Saccharomyces cerevisiae S288C: one gene and its partners. The protein of the gene in region 2 binds, or shares a complex with, the protein of the main gene of each other region. Each region holds a gene or a part of one and is shown on either strand. Other genes may lie near its edges. The genes, in order: MRP2, NAM9, MRPS5 and RSM10.

Region 1 (3,067 bases), on a different chromosome or scaffold from region 2:
TTGTATTGGGTACTACATGTTTTAGTAGTTGATACAAATACTTCTTTATCCTAATCGTATATATTTATTTTACCAGCAGGAATTCGTCTTTAATATCGTTTCGACCATCGATCATTCCTCTGAGTATTGCAAAAACATTTTTGGAACAACCCAAACTTAAAGTTACAAAACTCAAAAAAGGAACAAAATTAATAAAACAAAAGAATCGCTGTTAGAGGTTTATTGTTGCACTAATAGAAAATCATAGAACTTTAAAAATTATACTAGAAAGATGTCACAACAAGTTGGTAACAGTATCAGAAGAAAGCTGGTAATCGTTGGTGATGGTGCCTGTGGTAAGACATGTTTATTAATCGTCTTTTCCAAGGGCCAATTTCCAGAAGTCTACGTACCAACTGTCTTTGAAAACTATGTAGCAGATGTTGAAGTTGATGGGCGTCGTGTAGAGCTAGCGCTATGGGATACCGCTGGTCAAGAAGATTATGATAGACTAAGACCATTGTCATACCCAGACTCCAATGTCGTATTAATTTGTTTCTCTATCGATCTTCCAGATTCTTTAGAGAATGTACAAGAAAAATGGATTGCCGAAGTATTACATTTCTGTCAAGGTGTGCCAATTATTCTTGTTGGTTGTAAAGTGGATTTGAGAAACGACCCACAAACCATTGAACAATTAAGACAAGAAGGTCAACAACCCGTTACATCACAGGAGGGACAATCTGTAGCAGACCAGATTGGCGCAACCGGATACTACGAATGTTCGGCCAAGACTGGTTATGGTGTCAGAGAAGTGTTTGAGGCCGCCACTAGAGCTTCATTGATGGGTAAATCTAAAACGAATGGTAAAGCTAAGAAGAACACTACTGAAAAGAAGAAGAAGAAGTGTGTCTTGTTATAGGAGTGTCTCGATCTCTCAGTCGTTAACTTAGTGGCAGATACTGCCCTTTTTCAATCCCATTCCTTTTCTCATTGTATGTACGTATGCCTTTTTTTGTTATTTTAGCTCTAACTATAGCTACTTGTTTTTCTCCCAGTATGTGTATAATCTTATTCTTCTCTACATATAAGTGTATTGCTCAGTAAGTATTATCATCTATTAAAGAAGAATAAAAATTATCATGTATTTATTTACAAGTGCGTATCCTATATATATATATATATATACTTTCGCGATAAAATTTTTTACCAAATACCCTTCTTAACACCTGGCAAATTACCCTTCAGAGCGTTTTCTCTAAATTGATACCTACACAACCTAAAATCACTTAGAACAAATCTTGCATGTCCAGAGTCCACGCACCTATTTTTGATCTGCGTAGATCTCATGTAGTTTGGCAATGCATTTAGTTTTAACTGAGCCTCCAACCTCAGTTTTGTTGGAAGGTTCATATTTCTAGCGATGAATTTCAAAGATTTAACAAGGATTTCATTCTCTTTAAATTGTTGTCTTTTGAAGTTATCCCTAAGTATGCGAGCATTGATAAACCCTGGTGGTAGCTTGGTTTTTATAGGAAATCTGAAATTACCCATCGGTTAATGTATATATTTGTCAGTTTACCTTTTCTTTCGTTTTTCCTTTCAATCCTCTTTATCGCAGTTTGGTTCTTAGTTTGAATATTCCTCTGTTTTCGCTCTTTTCTCGTACAGCGCGAATTCTCCGCCAGCTTTAGAAAGTTGTAATCATTGGTGTTATTAAGGAATAAATAATTAGTCACATACATATGGTTATATATCGTACTCTATCTATCTAGGCATCTTGCTTTAAAAATTGCGCGAATCGGCTGGCTTCATGAATTCCACACTCGGTCTTGGCCTTGCCCTTCCATCTTCCTGCTCTCTCATCTTCACCTTCCTTGACGGGTTGTGTGGAATGGTAATCACCAATGGATCTATATCCAAGGTCCAAAAGTTCGTTGTATGGTACATTGTTTGCATCTATATACTGTTTAACCTGCTCGAACGTCCAATTGATCAATGGATTTATTTTTAAGATTCCATTAAGTTCGTCTATTTCAATAATCGACAGTTGGGAGCGGGCAGAACCTTGTGATTTTCTTCTACCAGTAAACACAGCACTTATATGTAGCTCTTTGTAGGCACGATGTGCAGGTTCCACTTTGGCCAGATAATCGTACTTGTCATCATCTTTCTCCCATAAGAAATCCCCGTATTTCGAGGCAAAATCTGCCTCCGATTCACATCCATCCGGCTTATATACGTGAATGGTTTGATTTTTAGGCTGGTAGTATTTTTTCTCAATCTCGTTTTTTAGTGTTAAAGTTTGTGGGAAATGGTGCAAAGTGTCTATAAATAATAGTTCTGGCATGTAGTATTTTTCAGATAGCTTTGACAACATATCGATAGTAACCAAGCCAGTCAAACCAAATGCAGTGGTTTGGAAAAGGTGAGGAAACGTTACGATAGACCATGCAATAATCTCCTGTGGCGTTTCCAGCTTGATTAGTTGTTCATTCCAATGATCCAACTGTTCTTGTGTGACAATTATATCATTATTCAAATGATAGGTCTTCATTTTATGAGTTGCTATGGGTTGATACCTTTGCTGGCCTTAGTTTTGATCTTAAAGCATTGAAAAGGTTACAAACAGTACAGTATACTTTTTTTATATCAATATAATACTATCTCTATGAGCTTTTACTTTGTCGAGATTTGCTGAGTCATGTTGTGGCTTTTCTTTTACTAGCCACGTGAAATGATGATAAAAATAAAAAGAATAACGACGGAATAAAGAACAGTATGATAAACCGTAAAGATATTTAGAATCAATAGGTGATGTCCACCCGGTAACAAGATGCCATTCATGTTAAACTAGGACAAATTTCCTTCTTGTCCCCCCACCATTCTCTTTTATCCAATTCTTTTGTCAGCGCGCATTAAAGAACAAGAACTTCGTACTTTTAACTACTAACTCCTGTTTGAGAAAGAGGCAAATATATAGAAAAATAAACCGATAAGATGAATGGAAACAGCACTAACAATGAACAATTGCAGCAAGAACTGGCCACTACTCAAGACCAAGTGGCTTCGATTATTGAGTCCTTCG
Region 2 (4,319 bases):
TATATCTGCTACACTACATTAAATACAGATACCTCTATGGAACGGATGAGCGTTTATTATCGCGATCTATATATGAGCAGTGATTATTTTTTATTTCGTAGCCTGCTGGAAACTCTTGTGGCAGGAGGGCTATTTTTACGAGAGCCTGCCTTCCGCCTTTTCCTTTTCGGCGAGGTTTCATTGCTAGTATTACCTGTGGATGATGAATGCCTAGTTCTCTTTGCTAATGGTTCATTTTTGTCCTTAGAATCCTTTTTGGTATCATCCTGTTGATCATCTCCTTTTTTGTTTTCCGTTTTTTTCTTTAAGTTGCCCCCTTCTGATTCAATTTGTTTTCCTTTACCTTCTGCCTCACGTTCAGACTCGTATCCCAGTTCTTCGTCAACTCCTTCGTCAACTCCTTCGCTTTCAGAGCCATTGGTATTTTCATAAGAGGTGGATTTTTCACGCTCATCATCACCTTCTTCGTTTTCGTTTTTTTCCTTATCTACTTCTTCATTGTGGGTTATTTTTGGCTCCTGGATCTCCTCTTTCTTTTCTTTCTGTTCTTCGTCTTTCGTATTATCTTCTTCTATCTCTTCCTTTTCTTCATCTTCAAATTTAACTTCCTTACTTCTTTTCAACCTTTGAGATTTTCTTACTGGAGCTGCTGTTTTATTTGTACTTTTCATTTTCTGTTCTTCTTCACTCATATGTTCCCTCTGGAGTTCCTTTTCATCGCTTTGCACCTCCTTAATGGGTTCTTTCTGGACGTCTATGGGGCTATCATTTTCCTCTGTATGATATTCAGGCAACTCTTTCACTTTAATTGTCGCATTTTTTTCCTGTTTATTGTTGTCGTTCTTTAGGTCTGTAGAAGGACTTTCCTTTGGAATTGTACTATCTTTCTCATTCATATCTTCAACTCGAGGATACTCTTCGTTAGAGTTTGGACTTTTTCTTGCATTTTCTAAGATCAACTCACCGTATTCCTCCCAAGGTAATGTAAAATCTTGCTTGCGTACTCTTATTCGATTATTCAATTCAAGTAAAGTTTCTTCATGAATTTCTGCATCGTCACCATTTCCATTGCCATTCCGTGAACTCTCTGTAGTGGCTTCCAAGGAATATGTATTCTCCATTTCATCAATTTTCTCTAAATTGTAAGATTGGCTCAACTTATCCCATATGTCTTTTGCAGTAAATACCTTCCCCAACTTCATGGTTTCTTTCTGTAATAGCGTCACTGGATACTTATCTGGCGAATTCATTCTTTCCACTATGCAAAACATGTGGAAATGCTTATGAATTCCGGCCGGTTTGAATTCAGATGCCCATCTAAGAAGTCGTATTTCATCCACAATTGTCCAATGTACTACCATCACATCCACGATTCCCTTTTCTTCACTAGCAGCTAGCAACTTCTAATAAACTCCGCCAATCCATCTTCATAGATTATATGATTGATTTCTTCGTTAAGCACGATTTTACTTTTCATGGTGGCAGCCGGATACGTTTCGCTTCGCAGTATTAGTTAAGGAACTATGCTGAAGATATACAAAAAGAGAGAGCGAACGGTCAAAAAGGTGAAGGTTTCCCCAGAGGAAGTGCAACTAATTCGAATATATATCGAGTAGGAGCTCCTTTATACTTTTTTGGTACGGAAGACTGGTTACAATTAAAATACAGAGATAATGCCAAGAAAGGCTAATTTGCTAAAATCTTTGGCAAGAGGACGAGTACGCACTTCTTTCAATAAGTATAATTTGTTTAATTTGTACAAAAAGGGTGGTGTAGACTTGAAGTCTAAATCTTTGTATCAACAGAAGTGGACGGCAAAGCAGGAAACCCGAGCTTATCATGGTGAACATTTGACAGAAAAGAGATGGCAAACCGTTTTCAAACCCAAATTGGATTCAGTAGCACAATTGGATGCTTCACTGCGTGGAGGTGAAATCAAGGAAACACCATTTTTATTACAAACTTTTGCAGTATTAGAAAAAAGGCTTGATTTTGCCCTTTTCAGGGCTATGTTTGCTTCGTCAGTAAGACAAGCTCGTCAGTTCATCTTGCATGGAAATGTTCGCGTTAATGGTGTAAAAATTAAGCATCCAAGCTATACTTTAAAGCCTGGAGATATGTTCAGTGTCAAACCGGACAAAGTGCTGGAAGCTCTCGGTGCCAAGAAACCAAGTTTCCAAGAAGCGCTAAAGATCGATAAGACTCAAATAGTTTTATGGAACAAGTATGTTAAGGAAGCGAAAACGGAGCCAAAGGAAGTTTGGGAGAAGAAGTTGGAAAATTTTGAAAAGATGTCGGATTCTAACCCAAAGAAACTTCAGTTTCAAGAATTTTTGAGGCAATATAATAAGAATCTGGAGTCACAGCAATATAACGCATTAAAGGGATGCACACAGGAAGGTATCTTGAGAAAGCTTTTAAATGTAGAGAAGGAAATAGGTAAGTCGAATAATGAGCCCTTGTCGATAGATGAACTCAAACAGGGTCTCCCTGAGATCCAGGACTCTCAGTTGTTAGAAAGTCTAAATAACGCTTATCAAGAGTTTTTCAAATCCGGTGAAATTAGAAGAGAAATCATTTCTAAATGTCAGCCTGACGAGTTGATTTCACTGGCTACAGAAATGATGAATCCTAACGAAACCACAAAAAAAGAATTATCTGATGGAGCCAAATCCGCTTTAAGATCTGGAAAAAGAATCATAGCGGAAAGCGTGAAACTATGGACGAAAAATATAACAGACCACTTCAAAACTAGGATGAGTGATATTTCTGATGGTTCACTAACGTTCGACCCCAAATGGGCCAAAAATTTAAAATATCATGATCCGATTAAATTATCTGAATTGGAAGGTGATGAACCAAAAGCACGTAAATTGATAAACTTGCCGTGGCAGAAAAATTATGTTTATGGTAGGCAAGATCCTAAAAAACCCTTTTTCACACCATGGAAGCCAAGACCATTTTTATCGCCTTTCGCCATTTTACCTCATCATTTGGAAATATCTTTCAAGACATGCCACGCTGTATACCTAAGGGATCCCGTCGCTCGACCAGGCCAATCCGAAGTAATTTCACCATTTGATGTTCCTGTTCATGAACGTGCATATATGTATTACTTGAGAAATGGTAAATGATCGTCGTGTATTGTTGCACGCGTCTTTTGACTGATCTTCAGCCTCTCTTTACACTGTAAATATTTAATTTTTTTTGTTTTTAAGTTCTACTCGAACGATCAAGTAGTCACTTAGTCGCTCCTCGTTTTCCTGTTACTTCTTTAAGAAAAGGTTACACATGAAAAAAAGGTTTTACAAAAAGTATATAATTGTTTATTCATTCACTTTTCTTTCTGATTGATTCAAATGTGATTTATTTCTTTTAACTAAATACAATTAATGCTCCTCGCAATATTAACCAGCATGTTCGAAAACAGCAGATTTGAACTTACCATCAGCGAAGCTATGCTTCATCTGTTCAGGGATTGGGAATTCTACGTAATCATCGTCCTCGCCGATTGGTAAGTTGACGTTAATAGCAGTTGAGCACGAGGTGTAGATTTCAGTATTCAAGGATTCCTTGGATAAATAGATGTTACCGCCGTCAGATTTATCAATGGAGATTTGAGGTAGGGAATGGTTAACTTGAATGCCAAACTTGTTGGATTTGATGACATCCATACCGGAAATGCTAGAATCAAGAACAACACTGCATGACTCAGTTTCACTCAACGAGATAGCGTTAACTTTTCCTTTTATTTGAACAAGAACTTGAGAACATTTACCTATGAAGATAGACTCATCTTTATTTGCATCAATAACCAGAGATTCAGTTTCATTTTCGTAATTCTCAATAAACCATTTGTTTCCTACCAATTCCTTTCTAGGAGGCCTCTTAGTTTTCAATGTTGATGGCTTTTTTGGCCTTGGTGGTGGACCGGATTTACTTCCTGTGGAAGAAACTGTAGAGGATTGACGTAATTCAGGATTTTTGTGAGTTTGTTGGGATTTGTCTACTTTTTTCAAACCCTTAGTGATATTTTCACCCTGATTTAGTTCGGCGAAGACCGCGCCAATACCGCCTTTGTTAGCATCACTACTCGTTGCTGGTGTATCATTAGAGATTTCAAAGACGGAAGCTGGTGGGGCTGGTGGAGGAGGTGGTGGTGCTGGAGCCGCTGTAGCACTTGCTGGCGAAGGAGATGAAGTAGCACCTGTATTCTTCGTTGATTGTGCCATCGCGTCAGCAAAATCCATACCGTCTTTTTTCCAGGAAACCCCAGTAGTATGATACTCTTTAATGTAGGCTTTCAAATTATCGAAAGA
Region 3 (3,813 bases), on a different chromosome or scaffold from region 2:
ATGTGGTTACAGCATTGAATTGTATCTAGATAACAAGTACAAAACACTAATGTTCTCCGATTTACAATTGAATGCTGACTATCCGTTGTATTACGATTCCTCACTGGATAATATATCTACAAATGTTGAAAGAGAAAGAGCCACTCCTCTACAAATCAAAGGAAAGATTAGGATAAACATTGATAGAGAAGACCAGGCCCTCTTAATCACTTCCCATTCAATTTCTTTAAAATGTTTCACAAAGGAATATGCATGCTTTGTAAATTCAGAAACTAGCAAAAACTCCTATAGTGACAAAATTATCAAAGAACTTAATCACACAGAGTTTTTTGAGTCTTCCACCTACCCCAAACAGCAGTTGAGAGTCATACACCACTCATTAAATGATAAGAAAATTCTATTGACAAAGGGCACGTACGATTACCCATTCACTTTTACCCTTCAAGCAAATACTTTCCCAGCAAGTTTCTCTTCCTTCTTTGGCAAGACCCATTTTCGAATAGAAAGCTTAACAACAATAATGAGAATACCAAGTAAACCTAAAAACTTACTCAAATTTTTGAAGAATGAAAGTTTTACAGATAAGATCATTTTAACAGAAGAAATTAAAGTTAAAAGAGTCCTGCCTTCAACGAGTATGCTTAAGTTTGAAACATTTCAATTAAGGTCATACAATACTGCAAGTGAGATCGTAGTATCGGTCATTGGAAACTCCAAGTTGATTGAAATTGGTATGCCTTTCCAAATGATATTATCAATTACCAAAACAGATTCTTCCATTGAATTACAGGAAGCTTCTTTGGCAGTTGCACAGAGAATGGCAATACCAAGTATTGATTTGAAGACCAAGAAAATACTACGAGAGCCATACATTAAAAAGTCCGAGTATTTACTAAGAACTGTAGAAAGCCAAAGTTTCGATTCCGACAAGACCATTTTCGGATTTTGCTTTGATGACGTTGTCATCCCAACCTATGCGGATGGTCTACCGAGCTGGTTTAAAACATTCTACTGTGAACCAAGTTCATTTTATCCCAATCATGCTGCCCTCAAAGTAACTCATTTGCTTTTGTTCAGAATAACCTATAGCAGGAATGAATTGGTGGAAGGGCTTGAAATGAAAAAAAATTATCGTATTACGGTGAATTTTCCAATTTTAGTTGGCGATAGTGATATTTCGACCAGCTCTTTGTTACCCAAATATGAAAAATTTGAAAATATTAGTGATCTACAAGATGAACCCCCACTATATTCTATGGTAGCAGGTGAGAATAGCTTATGAATGTTCGGTACCTCAGAACAACGCCTCTATTTTATCCTTTTTTTTTTTATTTGCATGATATACATATACTATTTTTTATTAGTTTCTTATTCTACTATGTATTTACGTAACAATAAATTTACAGGTCTCTCTTTTTGTAAGTATCTTGCACGCTGATATCTATAATACTACTTCACAAGTTGATCAGCTTCCGAGATAGACATTTTATGTATCAAGTCGCCATGTCCGTTCTCTACTGGCCGGTGTATATTATGATATTTCGACCGGTTCTAATACATAAGCACCGCCCACTCTGAGGAGAAGACATTTTTACAAGAATTACTAGCCATATTTTCCCTTGTCAAATTAGAGAAGGAAAAATTACTTGAAACATCCCGTGTTTGGGCACTAAAAGTATATCAATAGGAGCTGAAGAACACTACACTAGACTCTCTTGGCGTGAAGGCCTTATTATGTGAACTTTCGTAGGTTTGACTTTTACTACCAGTATGAAAAAGGTTAGAGTTTATTCAATCAAATGGAAAAGTTTTACAACTGAGCTAGTGATCTCCAAATGAGGTAGCAAGTAACAGTCGTATGTATCCCATACATTTATGTATCCCATATATTTCATTACATGGTGATGCTTTCTTTTATTCGCGGAGTAAAGTTCCTTAAAGTGAAAAAAAAAAAAAGACGAATTGACAAGACAATAATACAAGCACCACTAAAAGACCTATCGTTATTGTTGTCAAAGTAGACGGTAAACCATACAAGAAACAGATTTCATAGATCAATAGGTAAAGATGTTCAAGAGGCAATTATCGACTAGTGTTCGTTATCTACAGCATTATGATGAGTCGCTATTATCAAGGTACTATCCTGAAAGTCTTTTAAAATCCATAAAACTTGCTCAACAAACGATACCAGAAGATACTAAATTCAGAGTATCTCGTAACGTGGAATTCGCACCACCATATTTGGATGATTTTACCAAAATACATCCTTTTTGGGATTACAAACCAGGCATGCCCCATCTCCACGCTCAAGAGGAGAATAATAACTTCAGCATCTTTAGATGGGACCAGGTACAACAACCATTACCAGGCGAAGGTAACATTCTGCCTCCAGGAGTCAGCTTACCAAACGATGGTGGTCGGAAATCGAAAAGCGCCGATGTAGCTGCAGGGCTACACAAGCAAACCGGTGTAGATCCGGATTATATCACTAGAAAGTTGACTATGAAGCCGCTGGTGATGAAAAGAGTGTCAAATCAGACTGGGAAGGGTAAAATTGCGTCTTTCTATGCCTTGGTTGTCGTTGGTGACAAAAACGGTATGGTAGGTTTGGGAGAAGGTAAATCTCGTGAAGAAATGTCCAAAGCGATCTTTAAAGCTCATTGGGATGCGGTAAGGAACCTGAAGGAAATACCTAGGTATGAAAACAGAACTATTTATGGTGATATAGATTTTAGGTATCATGGTGTGAAACTACATTTAAGAAGTGCAAAACCAGGGTTTGGATTACGTGTAAACCATGTAATCTTTGAGATTTGTGAATGTGCAGGTATCAAAGATCTGAGTGGGAAAGTATATAAATCCAGAAACGATATGAATATAGCTAAAGGTACCATCGAGGCTTTCACGAAAGCTCAAAAGACATTGGATGAGGTTGCCCTGGGTAGAGGCAAAAAGCTTGTTGATGTCAGGAAAGTTTACTATTCAAGCTGAAATACTATGTACATACACACGCACCATTATCTCTCGTTTTACATAAGTAAATACAGCAATAATAATACCTGTAAATATCTCAACATACTCAATCAAATGAGCTGATAAGCATATTCAATTTTTCTTCATAGCAATATTTTTTTCTGTCCAAGTTTTATTTTTTTTCCATAATTTCTGATTTACTACCATTGAAAATTATAAAAGGAAAAATATTACGCGCTACCATTTAATAAGTAGAAACAACTAAGTTCTCGAATGAGATGTTTGCACTGATACAGCGAGCCAAAAAATAACCAAATGACTGCTACTAGCGACAAAGTACTAAAGATTCAATTGCGCTCAGCAAGCGCTACTGTACCTACCAAAGGTTCTGCCACTGCCGCGGGATACGACATTTATGCATCTCAGGATATTACCATTCCGGCTATGGGTCAAGGTATGGTTTCCACCGACATATCGTTCACCGTACCTGTTGGTACCTACGGTCGTATTGCGCCAAGGTCAGGCCTGGCAGTGAAAAACGGTATCCAAACCGGTGCTGGTGTTGTCGACAGAGATTACACCGGTGAAGTTAAAGTAGTTTTATTCAATCATTCACAGAGGGATTTCGCGATCAAAAAAGGTGATCGCGTAGCCCAATTGATTCTGGAAAAAATTGTCGATGATGCCCAGATCGTTGTTGTAGACTCTCTGGAAGAAAGTGCAAGAGGGGCCGGTGGCTTTGGTAGCACTGGTAACTAACTTAGTGTATATACTTTGGCACACTTGTATAATGTATAATAAAATCAGGATAAATCCAGTGTGACCCGGACTGAATTACTG
Region 4 (3,319 bases), on a different chromosome or scaffold from region 2:
ATATTTTCGCGTCATTCTTGCTGATTTTCTTTTTTCTTATTCTTATTGTGCTTCATCCTCCATCTTCAATGGCGGTAACGTAAATCAGAGTAGCTTTCATTTTCTTTATTTCTGTTTCTGTTTCGCGTCGGGATAACAAAGCGTACTTACTAATGGCTATTATTTTTGCTAATGACACAAAATCCTGTTACCAATTTCCAAGAAGAAAGGCGGATAACAGGGAAAAATTTGAATCTGTGTATCTGCAGTACAAATATTATATATTGGAAGAACACGCACTTATATCTTCTTCATGTTTGTCATTTTATTAGAAACTTTACTATTGAAAATAGCGAATCAACAACAGCTAACAAACGACTAGGTCTCTAAGAGAAAAAATCTTTTTCTTTTCACAACATGGAGCAAATATTATATAATCAAAGCCTTAAAATTTCTACCCTTTCTACTTTTCAAGGTTTAAAGTTTCTAAAGGTCCTCATTTTTTCTATTTTCCAACAACTATTTTATAACCCAGTTATACAATTATTCGGAACGAAAGCCTCAATAATGGAATCTGATTCCACTACTCTGCTCGAAAGTAGTTGGAGTACTGAGCGAAACTTTCTCAATATGAATTCAGATTCCATATCTGCTACCAAGAATGTTTTTATATTATTTTTTACCATTTTCAGATTAGCGGAGTATATTGTATACAAACTCTCTGACCAGAAGTATCGGTTACACACATCCCTGAATGTCCAACATTTCAGGTGGAATTCGAAGAAGAATACAAACAGAAAAAGGACACTTTCCTTTAGCAAAGCTTACTTACCAAGAACAAATATACTACCGATTTTTGTAGCCGATGGACTAAAAAATAGATTCTCAGGCCCGCTACCTGGTAAGTCCTTGGAAAGCTTCCAGAAACTAAATTTATTGAGCGATAACAATATTAAGCGGTATGCAGTACCAGGAAACAAAGCAGTGAACACACTTTTATGGCAAGAGCAATACTCATAACGGGCCGCAATATTAGTACAAAATTGTTCATCATATAGTTAAAAAATATAATTAAACTTACTTATAAATTCAGTATAACCATTTAATCTACTACTTTTTGCCCCTCTTCTTCACCTATTTTATTTACAAGTACGAAATCTTTTCGGTCCCAAGAACCAGCGTAATTATAGGATTGCCATCATCTTTTTACTTCTTTTCCAAATGTTTTTTAAAATCGGGGCTATCCAATAGTTCCAATACTTTTTGTCCGACAGCACTAGTTTGAGCTTTATCATCGTTTCTCAGAGAATACAATTCATCGATATTGCTTAGTGATTTTTCGAGGCCATTGGCGTCCGAACCCAAGTCCAGCGATATTTCGGACCTTTGAAAGAAGTTACATTTCATTCCGACGCCTGCCATAGAGTGCTTCGTAATGTAAGCTATCAACATCTGTAGCACTTCGGGGTTCGTATCCCAGGCCCTAATGAGCCTCTTATGTGTATGTCTTTCAAAATTCTCTTTGGATTTAGCGTGCACGAAAGGTGATTTTATTACAGTCCACCTTTCTCTTCTCGTGGGCAAAGGTTTAGGACCTGTCAATGGGATACCCAAATAGTAACCTGTTCTAAGTATGAAGTCTGAATAAAAATCGAGGTTTTCATTGTCATACGATCTTAACTGAATGTCTGCAACTAAATCACCATATTTGATAGGTAACTTTAAAGGAGCATAGTAGACTGCCTCTACATTTACAGGATATGGGCGCGTCGACTGTGTTCTGATAAATGATCTTAATGCAATGGTATTTCTAAGCATTGGCCAATGTTTTTCCCCCTTTTCTGATTTTGCACGGTTCGCATAATTCTAATTTGTACCAAATAGTTTCATTTCATGCCCTTTCTTGCATTTTTTCCTTTTCAAAAGAAAATAGATGTACAGGTATTACCCGCCTGGTACATAGTTTGCTAACATTCTTGCCCAATCTCTCTGCTGTTAATAAAGGATGTGTGGATACATGACTAATTTCCGGATTAAACAGTGACGATAAGAAACGGTATGGCAAGAGTCAGAATTTGATAAGACTTCAGTAATATTGATTATCGGTCGAACTAAGCTACCCTCTTGGTTAAATTCTAATGACTACCAGTGTGGTCAATATTTTAGGGTTATCGGTGAACGATAACAAAATCCGTAATTGTTTCCTACGCTGGTTATTACTAAGTAGCCACTCGGTGGCTATCTCTAGCCGTTCATCAATCATGTCAAAAGTACAATCACTGAGCTTATTAAGTCATCCGCACGTGGAACTCACACAAGCCCCGAATTTTGTCAGCCATTCCGTGGAAAATCCTTTATCTCGTCACTCTTGTACGGAAGTTGCACCTTTAGCCCCACTCCCAGATCTTCAATCACAGAGGCAATGAGGGTGGCTGTGCAATGTAAACTTTCTTATCGCTTCCTGTTATGATTGATTACCATGCGCGGTAGAAGGATTGAATGAGGGGTGTGGGTGTGATAATTCATGTACGGACCCTTTCCTCCCAGAAGCTTCTGCACGAAGTGGTTACATTGTGAGTACAGGGTCTTAAACATCGCCGTGCGGCGTCATTTTGCGGGGCTCATCATTTATTTCCTACTTCTATGACGTTTGTTAGGGCAGGGATGTAGATTTTGGTCATATACTTTCACCTGACAGAAGAAAAAACAAGGTCTTAGAGCAGTATTCCCGAATTATTGCCTCTTTCCTTGGTGGGTGCGGGTTAATATTAGATGAACGGTGGGTTGTGGTCAAACCCGGGGTAGGTTTTAAAATGTCATGCGTTTTCGTCATTTACATAGATATATACAGGGAAAATATATATATATATATATATATATATATATACCTAAGGGAAACAATTTGAATAGATAAAAGGTCTTTTCCTCTTATTCCGTTCTTTCTTTTTAGAGTACTATTAATTTCTACTATTTCTCCTATCTTTCTTTTCTCATTAGTAATAGTCTAATCATTTATATTCTAATATTAACTTTAATAAAGCAGATATCTTCATCAAGTGAACTGTTCACACTTAATTCACATTTATTTGAGGCAACAATACGTATATTTACTAATTAAAGAAAAAACTTCGTACACAGAATTGAAAATTTTCGATGGGCGAAGGAACTACTAAGGAAAACAATAATGCAGAATTCAATGCTTATCACACGCTGACTGCAGAAGAAGCCGCTGAATTCATAGGCACAAGTCTAACTGAAGGTTTGACCCAAGATGAGTTCGTCCACAGATTGAAAACAGTGGGTGAGAACACATTGGGTGATGACACTAAAATTGATTACA

What was found.
Region 1: NAM9 (region 2) and MRP2 share a complex: the UniProt entries of both Saccharomyces cerevisiae proteins name them as parts of the mitochondrial small ribosomal subunit.
Region 3: NAM9 (region 2) and MRPS5 share a complex: the UniProt entries of both Saccharomyces cerevisiae proteins name them as parts of the mitochondrial small ribosomal subunit.
Region 4: NAM9 (region 2) and RSM10 share a complex: the UniProt entries of both Saccharomyces cerevisiae proteins name them as parts of the mitochondrial small ribosomal subunit.

Annotation. Positions count from the first base shown.
Region 1 is NC_001148.4:875,097-878,163, forward strand, and holds MRP2 (mitochondrial 37S ribosomal protein uS14m MRP2), read right to left. Parts: upstream 1,534-3,067; coding exon 1,186-1,533; downstream 1-1,185. Other genes in the region: Rho family GTPase RHO1, read left to right, coding at 272-901; MET16 (phosphoadenylyl-sulfate reductase (thioredoxin)), read right to left, coding at 1,751-2,536; mediator complex subunit NUT2, read left to right, coding at 2,980-3,067. UniProt on the Saccharomyces cerevisiae protein: Component of the mitochondrial ribosome (mitoribosome), a dedicated translation machinery responsible for the synthesis of mitochondrial genome-encoded proteins, including at least some of the essential transmembrane subunits of the mitochondrial respiratory chain.
Region 2 is NC_001146.8:367,410-371,728, reverse strand, and holds NAM9 (mitochondrial 37S ribosomal protein uS4m NAM9), read left to right. Parts: upstream 1-1,673; coding exon 1,674-3,134; downstream 3,135-4,319. Other genes in the region: EAF7 (Eaf7p), read right to left, coding at 84-1,361; SRV2 (adenylate cyclase-binding protein), read right to left, coding at 3,408-4,319. UniProt on the Saccharomyces cerevisiae protein: Component of the mitochondrial ribosome (mitoribosome), a dedicated translation machinery responsible for the synthesis of mitochondrial genome-encoded proteins, including at least some of the essential transmembrane subunits of the mitochondrial respiratory chain.
Region 3 is NC_001134.8:719,323-723,135, forward strand, and holds MRPS5 (mitochondrial 37S ribosomal protein uS5m MRPS5), read left to right. Parts: upstream 1-2,067; coding exon 2,068-2,991; downstream 2,992-3,813. Other genes in the region: SPO23 (Spo23p), read left to right, coding at 1-1,282; DUT1 (bifunctional dITP/dUTP diphosphatase), read left to right, coding at 3,289-3,732. UniProt on the Saccharomyces cerevisiae protein: Component of the mitochondrial ribosome (mitoribosome), a dedicated translation machinery responsible for the synthesis of mitochondrial genome-encoded proteins, including at least some of the essential transmembrane subunits of the mitochondrial respiratory chain.
Region 4 is NC_001136.10:538,281-541,599, reverse strand, and holds RSM10 (mitochondrial 37S ribosomal protein uS10m RSM10), read right to left. Parts: upstream 1,798-3,319; coding exon 1,186-1,797; downstream 1-1,185. Other genes in the region: YDR042C (uncharacterized protein), read left to right, coding at 397-999; Na(+)/Li(+)-exporting P-type ATPase ENA1, read left to right, coding at 3,133-3,319. UniProt on the Saccharomyces cerevisiae protein: Component of the mitochondrial ribosome (mitoribosome), a dedicated translation machinery responsible for the synthesis of mitochondrial genome-encoded proteins, including at least some of the essential transmembrane subunits of the mitochondrial respiratory chain.